Daphnia pulex: one gene and its partners. The protein of the gene in region 1 purifies or fractionates together with the protein of each later gene. This does not show direct contact. Links are inferred from orthologs where the notes say so. Each region holds a gene or a part of one and is shown on either strand. Other genes may lie near its edges.

The links.
Region 2: the proteins of protein Gawky-like (region 1) and PAN2-PAN3 deadenylation complex catalytic subunit PAN2-like purify together in Homo sapiens (affinity purification with western blotting; 3 studies listed by BioGRID and IntAct, with this or other methods). This does not show direct contact. The link is inferred for Daphnia pulex from reciprocal best matches to the Homo sapiens genes TNRC6C and PAN2.
Region 3: the proteins of protein Gawky-like (region 1) and CCR4-NOT transcription complex subunit 1-like purify together in Homo sapiens (co-immunoprecipitation; 4 studies listed by BioGRID and IntAct, with this or other methods). This does not show direct contact. The link is inferred for Daphnia pulex from reciprocal best matches to the Homo sapiens genes TNRC6C and CNOT1.

The regions. Positions count from the first base shown.
Region 1 is NC_060018.1:6,003,521-6,007,622, forward strand, and holds the start of protein Gawky-like, read left to right. Parts: upstream 1-1,185; 5' UTR 1,186-1,580; intron 1,581-3,745; exon of another isoform or gene 3,746-4,102. UniProt on the Homo sapiens protein: Plays a role in RNA-mediated gene silencing by micro-RNAs (miRNAs). Required for miRNA-dependent translational repression of complementary mRNAs by argonaute family proteins.
Region 2 is NC_060021.1:6,585,442-6,589,638, reverse strand, and holds the start of PAN2-PAN3 deadenylation complex catalytic subunit PAN2-like, read left to right. Parts: upstream 1-1,337; 5' UTR 1,338-1,384; coding exon 1,385-1,680; intron 1,681-1,777; coding exon 1,778-1,898; intron 1,899-1,966; coding exon 1,967-2,027; intron 2,028-2,084; coding exon 2,085-2,220; intron 2,221-2,282; coding exon 2,283-2,947; intron 2,948-3,012; coding exon 3,013-3,173; intron 3,174-3,235; coding exon 3,236-3,502; intron 3,503-3,573; coding exon 3,574-3,874; intron 3,875-3,948; coding exon 3,949-4,142; intron 4,143-4,197. Other genes in the region: DNA-directed RNA polymerase III subunit RPC1-like, read right to left, coding at 1-798, 856-991, 1,070-1,113. UniProt on the Homo sapiens protein: Catalytic subunit of the poly(A)-nuclease (PAN) deadenylation complex, one of two cytoplasmic mRNA deadenylases involved in general and miRNA-mediated mRNA turnover.
Region 3 is NC_060019.1:12,280,306-12,283,907, reverse strand, and holds part of CCR4-NOT transcription complex subunit 1-like, read right to left. Parts: coding exon 3,330-3,602; intron 3,254-3,329; coding exon 2,913-3,253; intron 2,843-2,912; coding exon 1,799-2,842; intron 1,731-1,798; coding exon 854-1,730; intron 793-853; coding exon 494-792; intron 427-493; coding exon 1-426.

The DNA of each region.
Region 1 (4,102 bases):
CAGCCAAGGACGCGATGAATGTTGGACGGGATTTTACAAGCAAAAAAAGTCAATTTAATTGAGTCATTGGTTGCAGCAGATTGCCATTTGCTTATCGCCAAAACCAACAGGGAAAGTTTTCAATCAGCGCGGGCGTTTTCCATGTTAAAACGCATAAAACTTTGAAACAAATGAAGCGAAACGCAATTAATTATGAACGTGAAACAATCAAAGTGGCTTAAAAAGGAGGGAGGGACCCGTGTCTTTTCTGGTGCTGAGCTAAACACGGAAAGCTGAATCACCGTGAAATCGTTTCATTTGAATTAGTTAAAAGAAGAAGAAGAAAGAGTATCAATTTTCTAATTTTGTCTCTTTATTCACGATCGTCGTGACACGGACGTGCCATCTAGTCAACGTGATCTCAACTAATCACATTATTGGAGAAGGTGAACGCGGGAGGCGATGTGGCGCGCCAGTCTCACTGGAATTCTCCCCCTCTCCGTTATCTATGTCTAGGACAAAACAAATTCTATTTATTGTCTCAATAACGTTATCGAATAATTTTAATAGCGGATTTGTAGTTGTTTTTCTTTCAAAATCCTGCGATGAATTCATTCGAGTGTCGACAACTAAATTTCGGTTAAAAACTTGAGAGGACTAGTACAAAACATTATGTAAAGCGGTGGGATTGGACGTAAGAGAGAAAGGAAGAGCCTTATCTTCCATCTGGAACTCGCCTTTTACAACTGGGAACTATCCACCACCACCGAGTGCAGTATACATGTTTTTGCGGTTAACCTAGTTATGCTGCTGCTGCTACTCGCCCCCGTGTATACATGTTTTGTTTGTAAAAGCTTTAGTGCGACAGCTTTTCGAGCTGCTGAAAAAAGCCAGTAACCTATTTGCTATTTAAGACACGAGAACAAATACCAACAACAAAAACAAGCAAACGAAAAAGAGACAGTCTGAGGAAATGTAGTTTATTTTTATATAATCTTTTAGCAAACGTTTTCTTTTTTTTTTTAATTTTTAACAGTGGAACACGCGCCGAAAAACCGATAAGGAAGTCGACCCTGTCGGGAGTCATTAGAAGAGAGGGGGGATTGGAAAAGTGGGCGGAGTCATGGAAAACACAACTCACTGAGAATCGATTGTTTAGTTCGATTGAGTCGATCACGAAGCCCAGCACCAACAGGAGAGAGAGGCTCGTCGGCTGTAAGACACCACCGAAAGGGCATTGGAAGGAGATTTACTCTGAAAAAGTAAAAAAGAGAAGACTCTTCTTACTTGCTGCTGGTGTGGTGTGTGTGTTGTACTGTACAAGTCATTCAGTCAAATTCCAGGCTGCGACGAAGTGAGCACAACAGAGGCCATTTCACTCTGGGTTTTTATTTTTCCTCTTTTCTCCTCTCTATAAAACTGGATTTGAATTACACAGCTCTAATTTAAAGTGAGTGCGCAAAGCCGTGTTGCTGGTGTGTGTGTGTCTAAAACCGAGTGTGCAATCCAATCTCGAATCGAGCCCAACAATCGATCGTCGAGAAGCGTCGAGTTCGTGTCACGAGCGTGGAAAAATGAACAAGAGCCTTTTCCAGCAGCAGGTAAGGAGAAACAAAACAAAAAAGGGCAAAAACAACCCTTGAGCTATGTGTACCCCAAATTCTCCCAGAGACGCCATTTTTCTGTTGATACCTTTCTCAATTATTCCGCGCATACGTTTATATTTTTGTCGTCCATTTTCCATCGAAAAATCTTATTTTTCTCTTTCTGGCCATTGTGTGTGTGTTGTTTCCAACAACTTTGGCCATATTTATATAACTACGCCATGTCGTCGCTTACAGGATGCAGCTCGAGAGCTTTGTGTTGAATTCCGTAGTGTGCCCAGGCCATTTTATCGTTTTTCTTTCTTTCTCTCTTTCGTATTTTTCACCTTTTGAAGCGAATGGAAGTGCGAAGGGAGAATTGTGATGATTGAACATGTAAAGAGAGACGAAAAATTGAGGCTACATGACTTTCTCTCTTGCATTGCATGACTCGCTCCTCCTTCTCTTCTCTTCTTTTTCCTACGCCAGTATTTATACACACACATCGACAATATAAACTTACGGTAGAACGCTTTTGGCACGGCAGGACGAGCTGGAAAGGAAAGGCATTAAATGACATGGGGGCGGGACATTTCGACTTTCAACCAATCAGCACCGGGGACCCGAACGCTCACGGGATATATAGACGTAGATCCGTTGGGTCTACACAGCCCAAACTGAACTTGTGACATTGTCTCGATTGCTGCAAAATAAAGCCAAACAAAGCATTTGAAACCCAGCAGCTCAAGCCTGTCTTATATGATTGTTTTTAAAAATGGGACAAAAAAGTTGTACGACTTTTATTGGGATTCTCGTCTTTTGTTCTGTCAATCGATTGTACACCAATAATCGGGTTTTGTATACACATCGTGATTGGCAAAAGAGGTGGTTGTTTTATTGGGTTGGCTTTGACGTTGCACAAACTAGCCAGCCGTCTATAGTAGTAGCAGGAAGCGCAGCAGAGACTACGGGGGGCTCTATTGAGTTTTGTTGATGTTGGCGGACTTGTAGGTTAGTCAGCCTGGCTGGCTGGCTGGATAGTGGAAATGGCGTTGTGTCCGACTGGTCATCGATTTTGTTTGCTGGCAGCTCCCCCTTCACGCTGCTGTGTTCAACCCAACTCCCGATGAGACTGCGAAAAAGGAAAGACTGACAACAATAAAAAGGAAAAGAGAGAAGATTGCCCGCTGGAATGGCCGTTGCCATCACTTTCCGGAGTCTTTCCAACCCTGGCGCTGATCCAGATTGAATAAATCAGCTGGTTCCTTTACTAGCTGGGCTGGTTCGGGATGCCATTACCTCGGCTCATCTCGCTCTCTCTTCTTCAAAGGGATGAAAATCAAACCCCCCTTCTTTATCTTTCTTACCGCCCATCAAGTTATAATGGGCCTTTTGATATCGATCTGTTTTTTAGTCGACACAAAAGAGAGACGACACACAAACCTTAAAGAAAAAGGGGATTTTCAGGGTTTGGGGTTGGAAAGCCAACCAGAAACTTGGGTGGGAGGGAGAGACACAATTTTGGCAAGTCTCGAAGCAGAAAAACTTGGCGATGATGAGATACCGAAAATCTAAGGTTTCACTTGGACTATTTAATGGTTCACGTGCACGGTTTCCCATGTATACGCGGATGTATACAGTACCACACACGCGGAGGCCGTGCGGCTAGAAAATTGGAAGAGAGGGGTAGGGCACAGTCCTTTTTAGACTTGTCCGACTATATTTTCACGCGGATCAATAACTCGACGCGTCCGCTCCGGCTTCTCCTTGTAGCGTGCGCTCTCTGTGTGTGTGTGTTTACATTCGATCCCGTTGTATGGCCCTCGTGACGCTTCCTTCTTATTTTTCCATTTTTTAAAAAATTATTATTTGTTTGTTCCTTTTGAAATCACGAGGTTTCTAAAGGAACTCATTTCTAATGCGTCTTACGTTACGAACAAGTGTGGAAAAGATTTCCGGGAGATGTCTAAAGTTACCATCTTTCACGAACCAAATCTAGAAATAAAAAAGACGATTTTACACGGGAAAAAAATAACTAGCGCGTCATTCAGCGTCAAAAATACGAAAATGATTATTGAGAAACAGAATTAAATATTTACGACTTTGCACTTTCTTATTTCCTTTCCAAATAAATAAATAAAAATCTGAAAAAATAAAAACTGGTCAATTGAAATAAAAGGCGAAAGAAAGACAATCTGGCAATGGCGCATGGACGAGACGCTGTTGGCCCCCTTCCTCCTCTCTTTCTCTCACTCGTCGGCTGTGTGTGTAGACTGACTTGTGTTTTGTGTGCGCGCTCGTCGTATCTCAGTGGATGTTGAAACAGCCGCGGTCCCGCTCCAACGAAGACCCGTTTTTTTTTCCTAACAACAACACATATATTATTTCTTACAAAGCAAAGAATCATCCATTTCCAAGTACCTAAGTCATTCTGGTGTGTCGTGTTCCTCCATAGTTTTTTTTTTGGCACCGATCGTTTTCCCTCCCCTCCATCTATATCCTCCATTTTCCCTTTTTTTTTTATAACTCGTGTGCAATCG
Region 2 (4,197 bases), on another chromosome or scaffold:
GGATAATTCACTGTTGATGTAAAGTGCACATTGTAACTGCAAAAAATCCCAGTCTTCTAGAATCATTTGGCTTTTTGCACCCGAGAGACGGTGTTTAACAATGACATCATTCAGGAAGACAATTTCTGTTAGTTTCATTGTCAAATCATCCTCGTTTGTCCCCGATTTCAAATCGGACACTACAGAAGGTCGAATGCAAACAGGAGGAACTGGAACACGGGTGAGAATCATGTCCTTTGGATGCCCATGTTCAGGATTCATCACCAAAAATTGGATATCTTCGTCTGGAATTCTCTCAAACAGATGAAGTACTTCAAGTGGATTTAACATTTTAACCAAGCCAGATGACAACATTGGTTCAATCTCCTTGTTGAACTGCACAGCATTCTCATAAGCCACTAACTCATTTTTTAAAATAACGTTGTCTTTCTTGATACTTCTAAATTTTTCATGGGATATCTTCAGCATGCCACACTTTTTCACCATGCCATTGATGTCATTGCAGTTTGGGCAGCGTGTTACTTTTTTGCATACTTCTTGAATTTGCTTCCTCAGTGCTTTCTTATTTAGATAAGGTATTTTTGAACCCTTTAGTTTGGCTCTGTAAATTTTTCTCATCTTTTCATTAAGCATTACATGAGAGCAAGATTTGCAAATTGTTTGCAAGATAGTAATTACAGCCTTGAAGTATCCAACATGGAAAACTGGAAGTTCCAAATCAATGTAACCAAAATGGCCTACACATTCTGTCAGCCCTTTTCCGCAAGTACCACATATTGCATCTTTAACACTCATCCCCTATGAAAAAATAGCAGTTAAGTGTGGATCTCTTTAAATATTTAAAGAGTAAATTACCATTCTTCTGTCCAACATTCCATACTGCATAGGTGTTCGTCCAGCATCTCGGTTATACAAATTCTGAGCTACCACTTGAATGTGAGATTGCTGTTGTATTTGTTGCGGACTTTCAATTCCAAAGCTTACTCTTGCTCTAAAAGTACATAATCGTATTTAATCTTCTATACCTATACTAATGTGAATTAGAATTTTGAGTGTTAAAAAAACTTACATTTTTCTAATAACGTCAGTCTCACGGTATTGCTCCTTCACCATCGTTAAAACTAGTTTTCAATCATCCACTTGAAATAGTTTAAAATGATAAAATAATTGAAATGAAGAAATAAAAAGCACGTGTTACACCGGCATCGATCAGACGAATTATTGATGGCAGGAAAAGACTAAAGAGTGATGAGCTTTTTTTCTTTTCGTAATGAATTCGTCGTCAACTAGTGTTGACTATGTTGACTATCTAAGTAAGTTAACAAACGCAGCCCCTAGGTGGCACTTTACAGCAAAACGAAACGAAATGTCTTGAAGTTGAAAGATGGATTTCAATGTTGGCGTTTTTTCAGAGAAATCTTCGATTTTAATTGATGGTGGAGATAGATTTGGTGTGTCCGCAATTCATTGGGACCTTCAGGAAGAGCTGCTTTGGGTTGGTAATCAAGGAGGACATGTCACTAGTTATTATGGCTCTTCTCTACACAAATACACATCATTCCAAGTTCATGCATCTCAAGAAGTCAGACAGATGATTTCTTTTGATGCTGGTTTACTTATAGTAACCCCAAACACTCTTAGATGCCAACAAAGGAGAGGTGTCCCATTATTCACTTACAGGTTTGCATAATTGAGTGTAAATTTTCTAAATTGTTTACGTAAGAAAATCATCCACAATATATCATAAAAATAACAATTTAATATAAACTTCTTCTAGCTCAAGTACTTGTGAAGATCTACAATGCTTGTTACAAACAGGGCCCACAACAGTTCTACTTGGAGGACACCAACCGCTGGTAGTAGAATTTGACCTTGTGACAGCGAAGGAAACAACAAAAGTAAAGTGAAGTTAAAAACCATAACCTCCATAACATTTATGATAAATATATTTCTATTGGTTTATTAGTTTGATGTAGGAGAAAAGGGATGTGCAATTCTGAGACGACACCCTAGATTTATCTGCTCAGGTACAAAAATTCTTATGAAATACACAAATAAAAATTCATCCTTCCTTAAATAACTAGGTGACGCTAGTGGATGCGTATCATTAAGAGATCCTCGAACTTTACGTGAAGAGCATAAATTTGTAGCACATACTGAAAGCCTTTCAGATTTTGATGTTCATAACAACTTGATTGTGACTTGTGGGTTTTCATCCAGGTAATTTTTCTATATTATATAACAGAAGTAAGTTAAATTATCCAGTTGTACTTATTAAATAGGCAGGGAGGTGTGGTTTCGGATCGCTTTTTGAAAATTTACGATGTTAGAATGTTACGAGCTCTCAGTCCAGTTCCTGTGGTCGGAGAACCATTTCTATTGCGGTTCTTACCAGCATTCTCGTCCCAATTGGCGGTTATCTCTGCCATGGGACAGTTACAGGTTCTTGATGCAGCTGCTCCTGCATCTTCAGCTCTTCAACTTTTCCAAGTGAATAACGAGGGTGCTATGTGCATGGCTCTTGAAGTTTCATCTTCTTGCCAATGCTTAGCTGTGGGGGATGCCGGTGGATATGTTCACACCTTTGCATCAAACGCATCAGCTTTATTTAACAGCTTTTCTCGACCGACGGAATTTGCCGATCCAGTAGAATCCCTTCCGGTTTCGATCGCCATGGACGATACTACGACGCCACTCACTTCAATCCCTTTCCCCTTAGAACACAATTCGCCGCTGCTATCAGATTGGCCGGAACAGTTTACCCGCAGGAGATTCCGTAAAGTTCCACCTATTGATCATGCTATTCTGTCAAATATGCGCATGGTAGGCACTATTGGTTATGCTCCAAGTCCAGCTGATCATAGACCTAATCAAGTGGCCTACTCAGCCGAAAAACGAACACAACGTGGTCAGAAACATTCGGGAACGGATTCAACACATTCAAAGGGTTAGTCTGAATTAATTTTTCACAATTTTTATGTTTTCACCATTTTTAGCCAATTTCCCTTACAGAAGATACTGAATGCTATCAAGTGTGGAAACGATATCGTCATATCGAGATGAGGTACACAAAGGGTGGCCTTGACGAAAATGAGTTAGCTCGTTACAATTCCACGCCCCTCTGCGGTTTGGATAATACACTTCCTTATTCATATGCAAACTCTTTGCTGCAGGTATGAGTCTGATTGCTTACATTTTGATCTGTGCATTTTGACTGTTCGTTTCTTAATTGAAGGTGTTATATTTCATTCCGGAATTACGTCATTGTCTTCTTGAGCATTCCTGCAACCGAGAATTTTGTCTTGCCTGTGAGCTGTCATTCCTTTTTCATATGCTGGATGTTGGTAGAAATCAAGATCCTACTAGTACTCCAGTTACAGTCCAACCATCTAATTTTCTTCGGGCTTTCCGCACTCTTCCCGAAGCTTCGGCAATGGGACTGTTGATGGCAGAAAATCATCCTGAAATAAAGATAAAAAGTACACTTCCTAGGCTTGCTCAGGTAATTTTCAGTTATATATTAGTTTCTCTTTGTGACACTGATTCAAAATATTTGTAAATTTAATGTTACAGAGCTGGGCTCGTTTTATTCTTCAACAACTTAGCAGCGAAACCTTGCCTCAAAGCAAGATAACAAAAGAATCGACCACAATTACAAGTAATTTAGTAGAATTTAACGGAGAAGGTACGGAAAATTCTATTAAACCGGAAAGAGATGTTTCACCTTCTGAGGATGGTCTGTCACCAGTGTCTCCTATCTCTAAACTGTTTGGTGTTGAACAAGAGCAGATTAGCCGCTGCACAAAATGTGGAAGCGAAAATTCTAAAACTTCGCCTGTGCTTCTCTCTTCCCTTACTCTGCAAGATGTGGAGGGTTAGTGACATATATTTTTTATTATACCTAATTTACAAGGCACTTTGTCTATATTTTACTCACTCGATCAATAGATGAACACAGCTTCGAACATGTACTTGAAAAGAGTTTTGACGTAGCAAGTGTGACTCCGGCCTGGTGTGAAGTTTGTCAAAAATATCAAGCAACTCAGCAAAGAAGACGTTGTCTAACATTACCGCCAGTTCTTGCTCTGTCCTGTGCTAACGATACCTATAAAGGTTTTCGATTTTGGTCAGATCAACTACAAGTAAACTTTTAATATTCATAATGCACAGTTTAACACGAAACTAATAATTCGTTTA
Region 3 (3,602 bases), on another chromosome or scaffold:
CAAATGTGCGTCGCGGAAACGGACGACGGCTTCCGGATCATTTCCGGTCGTAGCGAAACTGGTTAAGCTCTCCACCAGTCCTTCGAAAGCTTTTTGAAGTAAAGTAATATGTGCTCCGTGTTCACGTGAAGAACGAGCCAAAATGACAGCTTCCAATAGAGAGCCAATCGCAACTGCTTGCGTTGAGCTGCCCAATGGCAACAGTGATTGCAAGAAACGCTCCAATTCCATGGCGACTTTTTCCAAAATGACCCCAATTTCATCGTTGGTAAACGTGGGGATCATCTTAGGCACAAGCATGGCTGCATCTCGTTCGGTGACAGGTAAGAATCCAGGGATGTATCGGGCAAACTCCTCATATACGGCAGCTTGTTGGGGTGTAACGCCACTCATTTTCAAACGAATGGGTTCCGGCATTCGATCGGCCTGAATAATAAAAGATATATTTTTGTAACGTTTAGTTTGCCAGACGTAAAATAAGAGACGTGTGTACCTGATAGGCGAAAACAGCGGGGTCGTAGTATCTCCTGCCTTCGTTTCGAGCGTGCTTGCGTAAATCGAACTCCGTGGCAAGGCGTTTATCGATTTCCGAAATGGATTTCTCTACGGCTGTCTTTTGGATAAACGCACACGCTGGTTCAACGTTATCTTGAGCGGTCAAAGTGGCTGCTTGTTCAACCAACTCCTTCTGTTGAGGGCTGGTGCTCCTCTGCAAGGCAGCAGAAAATGCTGTCTTGAGATTGTTTGCAATCGTCAATAGCAAATGATCTCGGCAGCGAATCAATGCCGTGCCTAAATATACACAATTTTAATATAAATTCTATATACATCAACAAATTTAAACGAGACATACCTGCACTGAGACTGCGAACCATGTGATGAGCAGCAGCGCGCATGCGGGTGTCATCCGCGTCGAGTGAAAAGTCTTTCTTTATGATTTGCTCACAAGTGGTCAAGGCTATTTTCATAGACCAATCAACAACTGGATGAATACACTCTTGAACAGCTCGTTCAACAGCTGGTCGGATAAGGATCCTTAAATTCGGATGCGCCGTCAACAGCGGTATGTTATTATTAACTACTAGATGCTGAGCTAGTCCGGCCAACGAAGTGACATTGATGTCCAAATAAGAAAACCTCGGATCAGGAGGGCCTTGAATTGCGTGGGCTGGTGTTGGAGTAGTTGTGCCAGGCTGGGATTGCATTTGTTGTGCAGGTGAGCCAGCAAGTTGTGGCGGTGGTGGTGGCTGCTGCTGCTGCTGTTGTTGTTGTTGTTGCTGCTGTTGTTGTTGTTGTTGCTGCTGCTGCTGCTGTTGTTGTTGTTGTTGCTGCTGCTGCTGTTGAAGTTGCTGCTGCTGCTGCTGAATGATTTGCAATTGTGGTGCTGGTTGATACATTTGCTGTAATTGCGGCTGGGACAACTGCGGTTCCAAACGTGACAGACGATTGTGATCCTTGAAGACTACTCCCGGCTTAAGATCGTGAATATCAATGGCTAGAGTTTTGCAAAGAACTTCGACTTCAAATTTAAGATTAAGTTTCAAGTCAGGCTCCTGATGTAGTTCTGCCAAAACATTCATGATTCCTAGGGTCCATGGATTGGGTGGTTTGAACACTTTGCTCTTAGCACATGACTCTAAGACTTTCGCCACGAATGGTACGACGTACAGAAGTTCTTGTTGCCCTTTGTGATACGCTTCGACTAGAATTGATTTTAAATCAATATCTCCCTGAATATTAAATGAAGTTGCAGTTTAGCAAAATTGGTACACAATTTAAAAATAAAATAATGAATTACCTGTAGAATCGGCCGGTTTTTAGATAGCATCAAAAGTCCAAGCCAATGACCAAGATTTTTCAACAGTGTGCGATCTGAGAAATTTGCTATTCCCTTGTCACTACGAAGGAGTACCTTGATATTGCGGAACGTCTCACCAATGACAAGTCGACTGAGCTCGGATAGCTTCAGTGTGTCAAGGAAGTTTGAATAGAGTGTGTGAAAATTTGGTTCAATTGAAGCTCTTTTCATCACCAGATACTGGGCTACCCAAGACCAATGTTCTTCACCCACAATGTCACGCAATTCTTCGCACTTTTGCGTCAGGTTTAATTGACTCAGATTATTAAATATGAAGCTGACTTTGTCTTGGACGCTCTCTGGTGGGTCTACAATTAAGACGTCTTTCTCCGAAGCAACCAGCAATGTGTCGATGTTGGTCGCGTTTGCTATTGACGGTCGACCACTCATAGGTGCAGCAGTAGAGGTCGTTTTACCAGCAACCGTTGTAGTTGGCGTAGTCGGAGTAGTGGTTTTGGCAGCTGTCGTCACTTGAGGTAAGACTGGACCATGAGGACGATTGGGTGGCTCGACGCCACGGGAGCCATTATCGATATACTCGATTAGATGCGGCGGGAACTCCCGAAAATGCGGAATGCTGGCCAAATGTTGACAATATTGCGGATATTCCTTCAATCTATGTCTGAACCGATCTAAGGCAGTGATCCCAAAATAGTACATCTTCGTCCCGTGTGGTTTCCGGACAGCTTCAAGTACGTAACGTAGTGCCACTCCCAGAGCCATGTAGGTGACGAGACCATGCTCCATGATTCCACCAAACAACTGAGCCGTTATGTGCAGCTCGCGATCTGGATACTGAGGGAAGAAACGATACTCTTCGAATAGATTCCTCAACATGCAGTCAAATATCTCCCGTTCACGGCGGTTAGTCGAATGTTGAAACTTCTTCAAAAGTTCAAGAACTTCATCGACTGTCAAGGTAGGCGTTGAAGGCGATTGGTTGTAAATCCGCTGGAAATAACTATTTGTCTCGTCTTCGATATCCTTTGTTACACAAACACGAATGCGTCCATTAGGTGTGGGGAAAATAAAAATAAAAAAAATATTAGCTTACTTTTGAAACAGCTTGTGGCATGTCAGCAAAAGCACTAGATACATCGCCGGTTCTTCGTTCTTGGCCTAGGTGAGGATTCATTCCTACTCGAACAGGGCCATTGACAATCGATCCAGGAGAACCAGCCGTACCAGATCCAATATTGCTCGTACCCATACTTGATTGACCGTTCCCGCTTCCACTCGCCATAGAAGATGGAATACCTATGCCCAGTGGATTTGTACTGGATGATCCAGGCATTGCTCCAGTTCCAGTTAATGAAGAAAAAATGGAGAAAGTACTTTGGTTCTGACTCGAGTTGGAATTGTTTGGCATCCCCACAACCGTTGGCTGATTGACTCCTGAAAAGCAAAACAAGTAAATAAATATTAGTTATAAGAATTGGATGAGTCGATTTCGAATGGTGTAATTCATTACCAGTTTCTAGCAAAGACATGCTAGAGAACAATTTTCCAGGCGATCCGGGGGCTGGAGTATTTCCTCCGAGTGTATTGGACCCAATATTAACAGCAAATCCAGATGAAGTTGGTGGACCTAAGCCCATGCTACTAAGGCTGGGCGAAAGACCAGTTGAGTCAACTCCAGGAGGCGGAAATAGTTGGCTGCTTAAGGTTCCTGGTGGAAATGAAACGTCAACTCCAACTCCACTGCCAGGACGGATAGGTTTCAAGACGCCAGGTGGGGGTTGCG